Macaca mulatta: one gene and its partner. The protein of the gene in region 1 purifies or fractionates together with the protein of each later gene. This does not show direct contact. Links are inferred from orthologs where the notes say so. Each region holds a gene or a part of one and is shown on either strand. Other genes may lie near its edges.

Region 1 (6,606 bases):
AAACAATCTTTATAGGTATTTAAACAAACTGAAGGCCACCTTGTAGAGCCACAGAATTATACTATAGAAAACTGGTAGATTAAATAACATCACTTAATACCTTTCCAATTCGTACCTATCCAACTTTTATTATCTATGGATACACTGAAAATACATGACATTTACTAATGAGAATGGTTAAAGCAGTCTTTGAAAATTTTAATACGCTGCATCTCAAAAGTAAATATTTGGAAACTACTACAGTGAAAAAGCAATCGTCCCTTTAAATTTAGCCATTTATTGTGAACTTAAAAGATAACTATTGAACCACAAAAAATTGAAGGAGGAATAGGCCAAACAATCCAGGTTGGGAACTAAGCACTGGTACTTTTTAAAAAGCTCCTCTGCTAATTCTCAATGTGTAGCCAGGGTGAAGAGACCAATGACCTACAGGCGACATGAATAATGTATCTCCACTGTAACTGTCACAGTCACACTACAATTTAAAGTTATGAATAAACTAGATTAAAACAAATAGCATCATCAAGACAAGTATGCTTTACCTAACTAACGTATAATACCGACAGTACTTTCTAATGACATTAACCTGTGCAAAAATAAATACAAAGCTATAGTTTTAATAACTTGGACAGCAAAGACAAAAGCTTGTAACAAGAAACAGGAGTTTTTCTAAATGGTTCACCAGTGGCCAACCTGTTAGTCCCCGATTCCAGTGACCTATTCTCAGAGCACTGGCTTCTCCTTGGGGATTTTCGATACTTCACTCACTGTTGCCATGACGACAGCTTCATCTCTATGTACCACTCCACATCACCCAGGCTTTGGTAAATGTAGCTGGTCGCTGTATAGTCGGTTGCAAGGGAAAAAAGAGTTGAAGTTAATAACATATACAAGTTACGTGCTTGAGTAAACTTGTAATATGCATAGAAACACTTTTACATCCTGCTTTAAAAAAAGGCTTCCATGCAATTAACAACTCCTTTTAAATTTTGCTATAATCAGACTTCTAAGATTGAAACAAAATCAGTTTCTCTGTAATAATGACCCAAAAAACAAAGTTACATCAGACACAACGATCAGGTGAGATTATATTATTTTAAATTCCATGGTTTTTACAGGTAAGACCTATTCTGACATCAAGGAAGAAAACTTAGTCTCACAGGAAAATTTCACAAAAGATAATCATATGATTACATAATAGCTGGCTCAATGGTTCAAAGAATAATACTAGAAAACCATTTCCTTTAAGCAAAGAGAAACCTTTGACTAAAGATAGAGCCTTGTATTAGTGTCATAACTTTAAACATCCTGAAGAATCAGCCAGGTATCTAAATACAGATTAAAGCTCAGACCATACCAAAGACCAATTTGAAATCTTCCCAATTCCCAGGGACTCATCAACAAACTAAAAGATGTTTTAGAATTTAAAAATTACTCTATCCCTGGACACAGTTAAGGTGAATGAGAAAAGATGGGGGAGAAAAAGTATGTAGAAAAACTGTTTCAGACTTTTTGACTAGGATATTTTTTTTAAAAAAAGAACTGTCTGTAGACTCACAGAATAGACTAGTCATCTAAAAGTTGCTTTAATATTTGCTTGTCTGAATAGTTCCATTACTGCCAACTTACAGATTCAGCCAATAAGGACTACACATATAGGATACTAACAGCACTAACCAACATACCCAGCCCCCAGAACAACTTATAATCCTTTTAATAACTTCCTTTCAAACTCAGTACACTGACTAACATCACTACAATTCCTTAAAGAGTGAATACAAAAACTAATCTACACCAACTATATCCTTCTGCAGCATGTACTGAAAGTCACCTGTAGATGCAGGAAGTCCTGCAACAAACTTTTTGGTACTGCCTCACAGGAACACATAGGTCCACATAAAATTATGTTACCACAACACCTAGGAGATACTATTTCAGTCTCTGTATTTTCTTACAACATCAAATAAATGAGCCTTATCTAAATGCAACCCAGTCAATCTTGTTAATTTTCTAACCCACTCACTGAGACTGTATCTGACCAAAACAAAATACCTGTTTATTCCCTTTGACTTCAAACTTCAAACTTTATCATCCTGCAGTCCTTTCAGATCCGGTATTATTCGATATATCGTAGTTCAATGTTGAGAAGTACTCTAACAAAAGCCAACCTCAATTGATAAAGAATTAACTGGGACTTCGAGTAGAAAAACATAATCTACACAGAACTTTGCCACAATATTAACTTAAACTACAGTGTTTAAACTTCCACAGCCTTCAGTCTTCCAGAGAGGGGAGAGGAAAAATAACTTACAGAATACACTCACACTTGAGCCAAATGTACTCCCTTTCTTGTTTAATCTTAAGCCACAGGCCTGGCTTCACAGCACTGTTAGGATTGTCCATAAATGCAACTGCCTCTACAAACTTTAGATAACCGGTTAATTATGTTTCTTTTTTCAAATTATTTTAAATATCAGTGTTCCTATATGAACTTTAACACCTAAATTAAAGTCCGTTTTCTTTTGCATCCATATTCACTTGAGAGGAAAGATGTTTTGATTTGATGACAAGTGCACAGTACAGCAGTAGCAAGTGATGCTATGTTCAATAATGCCAATCTTACCTTTTTCCTCTTAACTGGCGTAGGTGGTGGAATACATTAATCACATCTCTTATTCTTCTAGGTGCTTCTTCGATTTTTGATGCAAGATTAATACAAGCCATAGCAACAATCTGTAAGAAGCCACGAGCCACAAAAGCCATTGTTAGATTAAACTCACTTTGAAGAATAAACTTTAGAACACAAGTGGGACAATCTTTAGTAAAATTAGAGCGGACATTTCTATGCCATAAGCCTACCAGCTATGCTAGTACTACACTCTTTGTTGTTCCACTCATCTTAATTTTGGTTCCAGAGTCAAGCTCAATCTCACAGCACTTCTGTATTTGGTTGAAAACTACTTCTCGTTAAGAGGGCACTTAGGCTCGGGATCCATTTTCTGGATTGTGAACCACACTCTAAAGGTTTCCACTTCCTGGCGAGTGAGAAGTAGGTACAAAGGCCTAAACTAAACCACTCCCTTTCTGGAAAAGCTGGCTGCTAACACTACCCCTACTTCTGCCCATTTCCGGATGAAGAAATCCCTTTTACCCGCCTCCGCTGTGCTTACCTCGAAACTGTGTTTGACGAAAGATTTGGAGTAGAAAAAACGATGAAACAACACCTGCCCCGTTGCCATCGCCACCTGCAGACAAGAGAGGAGAACGGAAGCGCAGGGGTCAGGCGGGCCCGCTCCAGGCGCCGCCGCCATTTTGTGCCGCCGATCGCTTCCCTTTCCCCTCCCGCCGCCGCCGCGAACAGCCCGCTGCCAGGTCCTCCCTCCGCCTCCGCAGCCCCCCGCCCCGGCACACCCCGGCCCCGGCTGGGCCCCGAATGGGAGAGCCTGAGGGAGCCGTCCCCACCCTCCCGGGGCACAGTGATACGGGGATGCGGCGTAGGGGACGGAGGGGAGGAGAGGAGCGCCCAGCCGACCCAGGGCCAGAGCACTGACCTGCGGCAGCCGGAGGAGAATGCCGGCGGCCTGGATGAGCTCGCAGCCCAGGATGCGTAAGTCTGTCTCGCTGGGCAGGTCAAGCCCGTCCTGCATGGATGGGGTGGGCGAGAGCCTCTCCTCCGGAATCAGAGAGTGGTCGATGGTGAGTGAAACTTCCGAGTACAGGCGATCGCCGATCAGGATCCCTCCCGTCGTGGTCGTCGTCGTGGTCGTCGTCCCGGAGCTGGAGCCGCCCGCGCTTGGGGCGGCAGACGAGGCGGCGGCGGCAGCAGTAGCTGTCGAGTGAGGCCCGGACGCCATAGTCTTAGCGAGCTGCACGCAAGCTCAACGCAGCCGGAACCCGAAACAAGACTAACCAGCGTTCTCGGCGCGACGGATATTCCCGTGACCGCCGGGTTCTGGGCCGCTTCACGCCGCGTGCGCTTCCGCCCTGACGTCACCACGCCGGGCCGCCGCGCGCCAACTAGTCCCTTCAGGCCGCGCCTCCGCCCTCGGCATCCGGGCCTGCGAGGAGTGTTTGGTGCTGCGACAGACCTTGGGGTCATCAGTGGCTAAGGAGGCCTTCTCTAGCCAAGGCCTGTCGACACCACCTTGTTTGTGATACTTAGCCACACGAATAATGGAGCTTTACAAGATCCCTTATGCCCAAAATAGAGATGGCGGCGTTGGCTATCATCTCTGCGCCCCTTCACCCTGCGTTCCGGCCTCTTCCTTTAACCTCGGCGCGGCTAGTGTTCCGCATGTACCAAGGGAAGTGGCGGCCGACCTGAGCGCGCTTTGGCGGGTGAAAGTGGTGACTGGTGTCGTGTGTGGACGAATGTGTAATATAAAGTGACCCTCAAGGAAACTGGAGAGGGCTGCTTTACAGTATTTATCCTGCTTTACAGTATTTGAAGAACACAGGACAGTGGACTGTATCGGTTCCGATGAAAGTTCCCCGGGGGGCGTGTTTTTGCCAGTGTGGGGAAGTAGGGCGGAGGCACAGGAATGACCGTGAGGGCGGCTGCTTTCGTAGCTCCGCTTGCGAAACTCCTGCCCGGCCTTTGACACTGACAAGGCTTTCAGTAATCTGGAAAATCCCTAGTTTCCAAAAATAGTCTTAGGGCGAGGACTTGACAGAGGTAATTTGATTATGCCTGGGAGTGTCAGTTCATACATAGTTACCTGCCGAGGGTAGGCAGAATAGGTGAAGTCAACCTCGTGGGTTTTTTTTTTCTGTGATGTTAGCTAGAAATTTCCAGCGTTTCCTGAACATTGAGGTAAAAACGATGATACTGATCTAAACTACTAGAATCTAGGTTGGAAGGAAAGTAATGCATCACGTTTTACTCTTGACGCTCAGAAAGCGATACCCCAAAGACTGAGAGGCTTTAGAAGCTGCCTCATAATGCAGGTCCCCCTAACCTTGACTTGTTGCCCGCCCTTTCCCCAAGTGCGGGGAGGTACTCTCTGAAATTTCATTCCCAGACTAGAGAAGCCTCTTTGTAGAAGAAACAATCGCATTCCTCCCCTCACTGAGATCTGGTATCCTATTTCAGAAAGACAGAAATGCAGCCATGCCTGGAGGGACTTTTTCACAAGATAACTCAAAAGAAAATTATTTGCTAATTAATTTCTGTCCATTCATTCTTCCTAATAATCATTTGCTGCTTCTCAAAATAAATGTCTACATTTCCCATCTCCCCTTTCCCCTATGAAAAAAAGGATATAAAATCTTCTGTACTCCATTAAGCTACTGGGTAATGATTCTCCTGCTATTATTCCGGTGTTATGTATGCCTTGTCTCCTGTTAATCGCCTGTTATCAGTTGATTTTTTTTTTCTTTTTTTAAGGTGGAGTCTCGCTCTGTCGCCCAAGCTGGAGTGCAGTGGCGCGATCTCGGCTCACTGCAACTTCCGCCTCCCGGGTTCAAGCGATTCTCCCACCTCAGCCTCCCCTAGCTGGGATTACAGGCACACACCACATGCCCAGCTAATTTTTGTATTTTTGTAGAGAGGGGGTTTCACCATGTTGGCTAGGCTGGTCTTGAACTCGTGACCTCAGGTGATCCGCCCGCCGTGGCCTCCCAAAATGCTGGGATTACAGGCATGAGCCACCGCACCTGGCCTTACCAGTTGATTATTTAAGTGAACCTTCAGCGGCAAAGTTGTTTTAAAACGTACTGATAATTGAGCCTTGTCTGCAGAGGTTGAGGCCATTGATTTAAGGTGGGCCCAGCCAGTGGTTCAATTTTGCCTGTCTTCCAGTGATTGGAATGTACAGCCAAGAGAGTGTAATTATGGTGCTGGCAGAAGTATTAACCTATCTGGATGTCACTGTCTTCACTTTCTGACTAGGCTGCTTCCAGGGAATCTTTCCACCTCAGTATTTATGAGAGATCTATAATTTTATAACAAACTTTTAAAGGAGACTTGGTTTCCTTAAACACAACTGATGACACCAGTTTTCTGGTTTTCTTCCATTTTTGTTTTTACAGCCATTGTCTCACTGTGTTGCCCAGGCTGGCTTTGAATTACTGAACTCAAGGGATCTTCCCACCTCAGCCACCTGAGTAGCTGGGACTATAAGTGGCACACCACTGTGCCTGGTCAGTTTTCTGGTTTTGATAACCTTTGGTTGTGTGAGATATTATCATTGGGGAAAGTTGGAGGAATATATAGGAGAAGTCTGTTTTTGCAACTTTCATGTCTTATTTCCAAATAACCCTAATTGATTATGGACTTCATTGAAACATTGGACTTCAATGAAATCATTACCTATATTTGTAATGACTTGAGAATAATATAATTTAACTTAATTTTGACCTCTGAACTTTTTATTGGCCTCCTGCCCCAAAGGGTACCCTGCTTCTGCTGGTTTAATGTCTCAGAACTTTGGTGTCTTTGGTCTCAGATACCACTTTGCCATCCACTCTCCAGTGGATGGTGGTCTTTTGGATGGTTTGCATGGAGTTGCTGCTGTCCAGGGCATCACCAAGATTGAAGTCCTTGCCGTCTTCCAGCAGGTGGCGGTAGGTGGCAATCTCAGCCTCCAGCTTGACCCTGATGTTCAG
Region 2 (6,697 bases), on another chromosome or scaffold:
GTTGTCAAAAGTGGCCACTTTTACTTCTGTGTACACTTTTCTAAGAGGTACTACAAAGGAAATGAAGAATTGATTTTTCAAAATCAAAAGATGAAACTTTTGACACTAATGTAGCTTTCTGCCCAGCCATATAAACCCTTACCATTTTCCTCCTCCTTTTTCTCTCTTCTCCTCAAAACAATTTGTCAAAAAAAGATACAACCTCTCCATTGATTGGAAAGTTTTAAGATTTTAGCCATAGAATACCACTTGGGGATAGACAGTAAAATTTTGCTCACCAGTTTCTAAATTCCTAAAACTTCTTAGTACCTCATTTTTGATCAATACCTGGAAATCTACTAACGCAAATTAAATGATATAAAATTCCTCTGTAGTCACTCATCATTTACCCATTCTCACACATAGGAAAGAACTGATATGAAACTACAAAAGTAAGACCGCTTGTCCTCAAGAAAGGCACCCTCTATCTTGGTCACTATGTGCATAATACAATCCTGCAGCTAAAATACAGCAGGCTTATACAAAAAGGAAGGCTGTTCTAAATTCTTTCAAGTTAAGAGCAACTGGTACTCCGTTAAGGACCTAATTTCCTATGACCAAGCACCACAATAGTAGCTATTAGTCATAACTTCAACTTATTTGAATAAAGAAACACAACTTTGGCTAAAGATCCTGTTCTTTTTAAAAAGTAATACTTTCAATTCACAAAACAACAAAATCACAATAATGCCATTAGTGATGTATTACCCCATCCTTCAGACAGGAACAAAATCTGGATAGAAATGCCACCGGGCTTTAAAAAACATAAATAATTGAGTGTAGTTTCACTAGTGGTTTAGGCTGCACTGTGAAAACAAACAATGTCAAGAAGAAACAAGAAACATTTCATTAACTAGGGGCCTCCCAAGTGTGATTCCAGGACACTGGTACCTGTTTCTGTGCTCAACGTTCAGATCCTACAATCCAATGCTAAAATGAACAGTAAGAAATATGAAGAAATAGGAAACAGGAGTTCTGGCTAATGGTCATTCAACATAATGACATTAGGTAAGTTTCTTTGTGCCTAGGTCTCCCATTTGTAAAGATAACCTGCAGCAGCTTACATACTGGGTTTCCTAACATCTGCTGAGAATCTTTAGAGTAGGAGAAAGCTAGAGCCTATGAAGCTCTTCAGATGATGAAGCAGCAATGTGATGCTCTCCTAAATGAACATGCTGGGATTTATACATACACCTGAATGCTATTCCTTTCAAAAAAAAAAGCACCACAGAAAATCGTACACTTATTCTAAAAATGCTGCCATAGCACAAAAGTTCAGACATTTTTCCGGAATTGCTTTAGAGTCAGCAATTCATTCTTCTGAATATACAGCAGTGGAATGTGGATATTCCTAATTTCAATTTACGCCTCGCTTATTTCTTAGATTTGAAGCAGCTTATTAAAAACTTATGCTTATATATATAAAGCTAATGTATGGCTTTTTAAGGTAATTTCCCTGTGACTTAAAAAAAAAAAAAAACCTTGTGACTTCATAAATGCAATACATATTTAGGGAAGAGAGGAGTCACACTCAGTATCTTCAACATCAATTCCTCACTTCTCATCCCCAGTGTGTCTGAGAACACAAGTAACTGTCTATTTCTCTTTACTGCAATTCTGCTTCTTCATCACTAGGCTAGGATGTTTTGAGTGATGGAGTTAATCATTTTTTCTGAAAGATTACCAGGAAGCATAAGCCTGACCCCTCACATTAAACAGTGATTACCTACACAGCTGCTCTAACACACAGAAACAGCTTTTCAATTCCACATTCTTAGTCCACAGAACCTCTGCAAAAGGGCCACACTGGAAATCACATGTATGCAAAGTGCTTACGTCACTCTTCCGTCTTCTCAATCTCTCACTAAATGACATGTAACCACATGAAATGATCTGGCAATAACGAAGACCCATCACAGATTCTAAGAACTACTTTTTACTATAGCCTATAAAACATTATTAAAGCTATACAATTAATCTGTTACCAGAAGGAAAATTTAGCCGACCCTTCATGCTCATTAAAATCATCTTCATGGAAGAGATAACAAAAGACATATCATTATCAAACTGATTGCTAAACCATATATTAAAATCGTTTTGTTCCAATTATTGCTTTAGTAATAATACGTGAATTCTTCTACATTTTTACTAGCTGATAAGCAACAATGGCTCTCTGGCTTCCCAACAAGGCTTCTCAGCACTACTGGCGCACTATATCCATCCCACCTGAAACTTTACTGCCAAAGGAAAAAAAAAAGCAAGTGATTATCTGCTAAGGAATTTCCTTCCACTTGGGTTTGACATACATTTCTGAAGTCGCTCCAATTTTTTCCAACTTTCTTTCTGGAACAACGGAGAGCATGCACCAAGACTAACAAACACAGTGCTCAGGGAGCCCTTAAATTGAGAATGGCTTTCCTGTCTTTTGAATACCTATTTATTTTCTAACAAATGGAGCCCTTTAGGAATTTTTGCTTTAGGCAATTTACTTTTTAGAACAAACACCTTCCTGAACTTAGATTTGAACTAAGATCTGTGACCAGTCTGCACATTTTCTTGAAAGTTCACAGCAAAATGGGGTGGAAAAAGAAGTAATGAAGGGACATCAGATAAATAAAATCTGAGCGTGGGCTGGGCACAGCGGCTTATGCCTGTAAACCCAGCAATTTTAGGAGGCCTGCAAGGAGTCCTTTTGGAGGACTGCTTGAGCTCAGGAGTTTAAGACCAGCCTGGGCAACTTGACCAGACCCTGACTCTACAAAAAAATTTTAAAAATAACTGGGCGTGGTGGCATGCACCTGTAGTCTCAGCTACTTGGGTGAGATGGGAGGATCATTTGAGCTCAGGAGTTGAAGGCTGCAGTGAACTATGATCTGCACTACAGCCTGGGTGACAGAGTGAGACTCTGACTCTAAATAAATAAATTAAATTAAATTCAAGCTTGCATTGCCCATTCTAGAACGTGACTGGGGTAGCTTACAACCTTCTGCCCTGTGGGGGGAAAAATGTTACATACCACTCATAGGACACTCACCTTGAGGATTTTTACAACCACTCTCTCATTGTTGGTGATGTTAATGGCCTCAAATACTTCACTATATTTTCCCCGACCAAGTTTTCGAACCAGTTGGTAATCATCTTGATTACTGTAAAAGGAAGACACACACATAAATGCCAGGACTGGGGGTTAATCTAAGCAAGCCTATGCTCACTGTATACGTCATTCAGCCGCTTCCAACAGGCAAACACTTGGAAGTGTCTATACATCACGTCACAACTCATTCCCTAAATGAAAGCCACGACGTAATCTTGGCTCCCTTCACTCTGCAGAGCTCCTAACCTAATTGGTCTCTCCTAACTTGGAAAGATGGGGCAGGAAGGCAACGCTCTGAGCCAATCCAGAGGGCTGAGCAAAGCACCCGTCCTGAAGGCCTAGAGGGTGCCCCCTGTGCCCCGCGGCTCCCCAGCACCTGCTTCCCGTTTCACACCCTGAGGGTAGACAGTGCCTGTTTTAAAAAACTGGACGTCTTTAAGAAATTTCCTCCCACCACCTCATCTCAGAAAACCGAAAAGGCAGGGAATTTTAATAGCTCCAAAGGACAGCTGTTGACTTCCCACCCCAGTGGAAACCCAGAAGCGTGAGGAAGGGCTACTCCCTCACTTTTACCGGGCGTCGATCCCTGGACCCCACACTTCTCCCCGAGTAAAAAAGCATTCCTTGGGGGAAAGAGGTGCGCAAAGCGGGGAGAAAGGGACAAGGGGAGGGAAGAGGAAGACGAGGACATGTGCGAGAGCTGGACCTCTGCCTCCCTGCGGGCCCGCGGAGGGGTCGGCGGGAGACACCACCGGGCCCGAGTGCGGTTCGCAGGGGGTGGCCGGGCGGGGGCAGGGGTCAGCGGGCCCGGCGGGGGGCGGCGGCGGCTTTACCCCCAGCTCGGGACGTGAGCCTCGTAGTCCCAGTACTCGCGGCTCCTCAGGCTGTTCACCTCGGCGTAGACCCGGGCCCTGCTGCCCGCGGCCGGGCCGGGCATGGCGGGCGGGACCGGGGGGCGGCGCGGGGCGCAGAGGGTGGCGGCGGCGACGCGGCGGAGGGCGCGGGGCGGCGGGCGGAGGGGGCAGCGGGCCGCCGGGCGCTGGAGGAGGAGGAGGAGGAACGCGGCGGCGGGCGGCCGCGCCAGGCCGGGCCCGCGGGGGCGGGCGGGCTGGGGGCGCGGGGGGCGCCGGCCGAGCCGGCCCGGCCCTGGAGCGGCCGGCGGGGCGGCGGGGCGGGCGGCGCTCGCGATCCGCGGCGGTCTCCGCTCGGCTCGCGGCCCCCAGGAGGCGGCGGCAGTGGCGGCGGCGGCACCGGCAGTGGCAGCCACCGGCCGGGAAAGGGGCAGCGGCCGCGGCAGCGGAGAAGAAGGAGGAGAGAAGGAGGAGGCGGAGGAAACCCGGAAAAGGGGCCGCGCTCGCTGGGAGCGGCCGCCGCCCGGCCTGGGACCGCCCAGGCTCACAGCGCCCCCTGGAGCGCGGGGGGACCCGCCGGGCGGTGCCGGCCCCGCCCCGGCCCCGCCCCGGCACGCCCCGCCGCCTACCTCGCGCCCTCCCGCACCGTCCCGCACCCTCGCCCTCCCGTCGCCCCAGGTCGGACGGTCCAAATCGCCTCACCCTCGGGCTGGCCTGACTTCACGCCACAGGAGCCCCCCTTCCACTGGCCGTTGCCCTAGAGCCCTCGCCCGCGAGTCCCGACCCTTTCACTGTCCTTGGAGACCCTACCCCTAGCCCTGCACTCACCCAGCTTTTACCCACCCGACACCTCCCATACTGACCCTATTCTGACCCTCCTGTCACCCAAACTGTCAAGTCCCTCCCCAGGGCCTCGCTCAAACCTCAGAACCTCTCCCACCTCAATACTTCTCCTTTTCCCGGAGACATACCCCTCCTTCCCCCTCTGGACCCTGCCCTGTTAGGGTAGACTCCTCAGTCCCCAAAGCTTCCCACCCCCGTCATTCAGAGTCCTCACAAAACCTTTCCACGCTTCCCCCAAATGCCCTTCCAGAGCCTTCCCTGAATATCCACTTTGGTCACTTGGTTAAGCTGGCGTCGGCCAGGTTGTGCCACTGCAAAGTTACAATTTTTCCCTTTGTGATTAGTTAGTTATTTGTGGGGAGAGACTTTGAGTGTGTAAATCTCCTGTTTGTGTTTAGGAGGAGGGAGAGCAGAATTGCAAATCCGACCTGAAGGGACAGCAGGGATTGGGGATGCACCAGGGTAGGTGGTCAACTGAACTGGCCTGGCTTCCAGTGTTGCTTGCAGCCCTGAACACCCTTCTCCTTGGACCTTCTAGGCCCTTCCTTTGTCTTCCTTTCCCATCCTGCATCCTTTATCGACAGGACCTCTGCACCCAGTGCAGGTTGCTCTCATTCCAATCCCTTTTCACAGTCTGTTTTCTAGATGAAATCCTGGGCCTTCCTCCTTGACACAGCTAAGAGCACAGACTGTAGAGTCAGATCTATCCAGCACTGCTACTTAGAAGCTGTGTGACCTTAGGACAATTACTCAACCTCTCTGTGTCACAGATTCTACAGCACAAAACCAGTAATAGCACTCACTTCACAGGGCTGCAAGGAGAATTAAACAAGGTAAAGCATGTGAAACATGTAGGATGGTGTTCAATATTAAGATACTATGTGTACAATATGATTATTCCCAGACCCAGGGCCTTTCTCTGATCATGCCTCCCTCCCTGAGACCACCACGCATCCATCTTTTGGTTCCTTCCATCCTCCAAGCTTAACTAGGAGCCACCACCAACCCCTCCACCCCACCTTCCCAAGGGTGACTCCTTTTCCCTATTCAAGTTTCGCCTTTTTCTTTATTAGTAGTATTTTTTTTAGAAATAGAGTATCACTATATTGCCCAGGCTGGAGTGCAGTGGCCTATTCACAGGAATGATCCCACTACTGATCCGCACGGGAGTTTTGACCTGCTGTTTGCCACCTGGCAACCTGGTGGTCCCCCAGCCCCAGGAGGTCATGATAGTTGATGCCAAACTTAGTGTGGACACCTGATCGGCATTATGCACTACAGCCCAGAACTCCTGGGCTTACACGATCCTCCCACCTCAGCCTCCTGAGGAGTTGGGACTACAGGCATGCCCCCAGCTCAAGTCTCACCTTAAAGATGACTTTCTCTACAGTTGATACTTCTCTATCTCAGCACCCTATCCACATCCTTCATAAAACTGCATATCTTGTCATTATTTGTTTCCTTATTGTCTGTCTCCTCCCTTGTAAAAACAGCACAAGAACAAGGACAGAGTGTGGGTGCTCACCACTAGCTCGCCTAGCATTTGCCACAGTCAGAGACCTTCAGTGAATACAGTGTTACCCCACAAATGACTTAGGGATTACCAAGGGGAAACGAGGTCACCACCTTATCCGTGGTCCAAACTTCTCATCAGTAGGGAACCAACTAATCCTCTGATGTGATGCAACGAGAAGGGACACCTCCCCCATGAGGTACTCCTGCCAAAACATTTAACCTGAATCTAATAATAAGGGCGCCATCAGCCAAATCCAAGCTGGGCGACATTCTGCCAAAGAGCTAAGCTGGATTCTTCAAAAATGTCAATGTCAGGAGAAAGAAAACCAAACGAAACCTTGGATGAGTGTTCTTG

The links.
Region 2: the proteins of CCNL1 (region 1) and CSNK2A2 purify together in Homo sapiens (affinity purification with mass spectrometry; 4 studies listed by BioGRID and IntAct, with this or other methods). This does not show direct contact. The link is inferred for Macaca mulatta from reciprocal best matches to the Homo sapiens genes CCNL1 and CSNK2A2.

Annotation. Positions count from the first base shown.
Region 1 is NC_133407.1:60,340,244-60,346,849, forward strand, and holds the start of CCNL1 (cyclin-L1), read right to left. Parts: upstream 3,908-6,606; 5' UTR 3,855-3,907; coding exon 3,552-3,854; intron 3,246-3,551; coding exon 3,171-3,245; intron 2,734-3,170; coding exon 2,624-2,733; intron 1-2,623. UniProt on the Homo sapiens protein: Involved in pre-mRNA splicing. Functions in association with cyclin-dependent kinases (CDKs). Inhibited by the CDK-specific inhibitor CDKN1A/p21. May play a role in the regulation of RNA polymerase II (pol II).
Region 2 is NC_133425.1:53,800,796-53,807,492, forward strand, and holds the start of CSNK2A2 (casein kinase II subunit alpha'), read right to left. Parts: upstream 4,442-6,697; 5' UTR 4,071-4,441; coding exon 3,967-4,070; intron 3,186-3,966; coding exon 3,074-3,185; intron 1-3,073.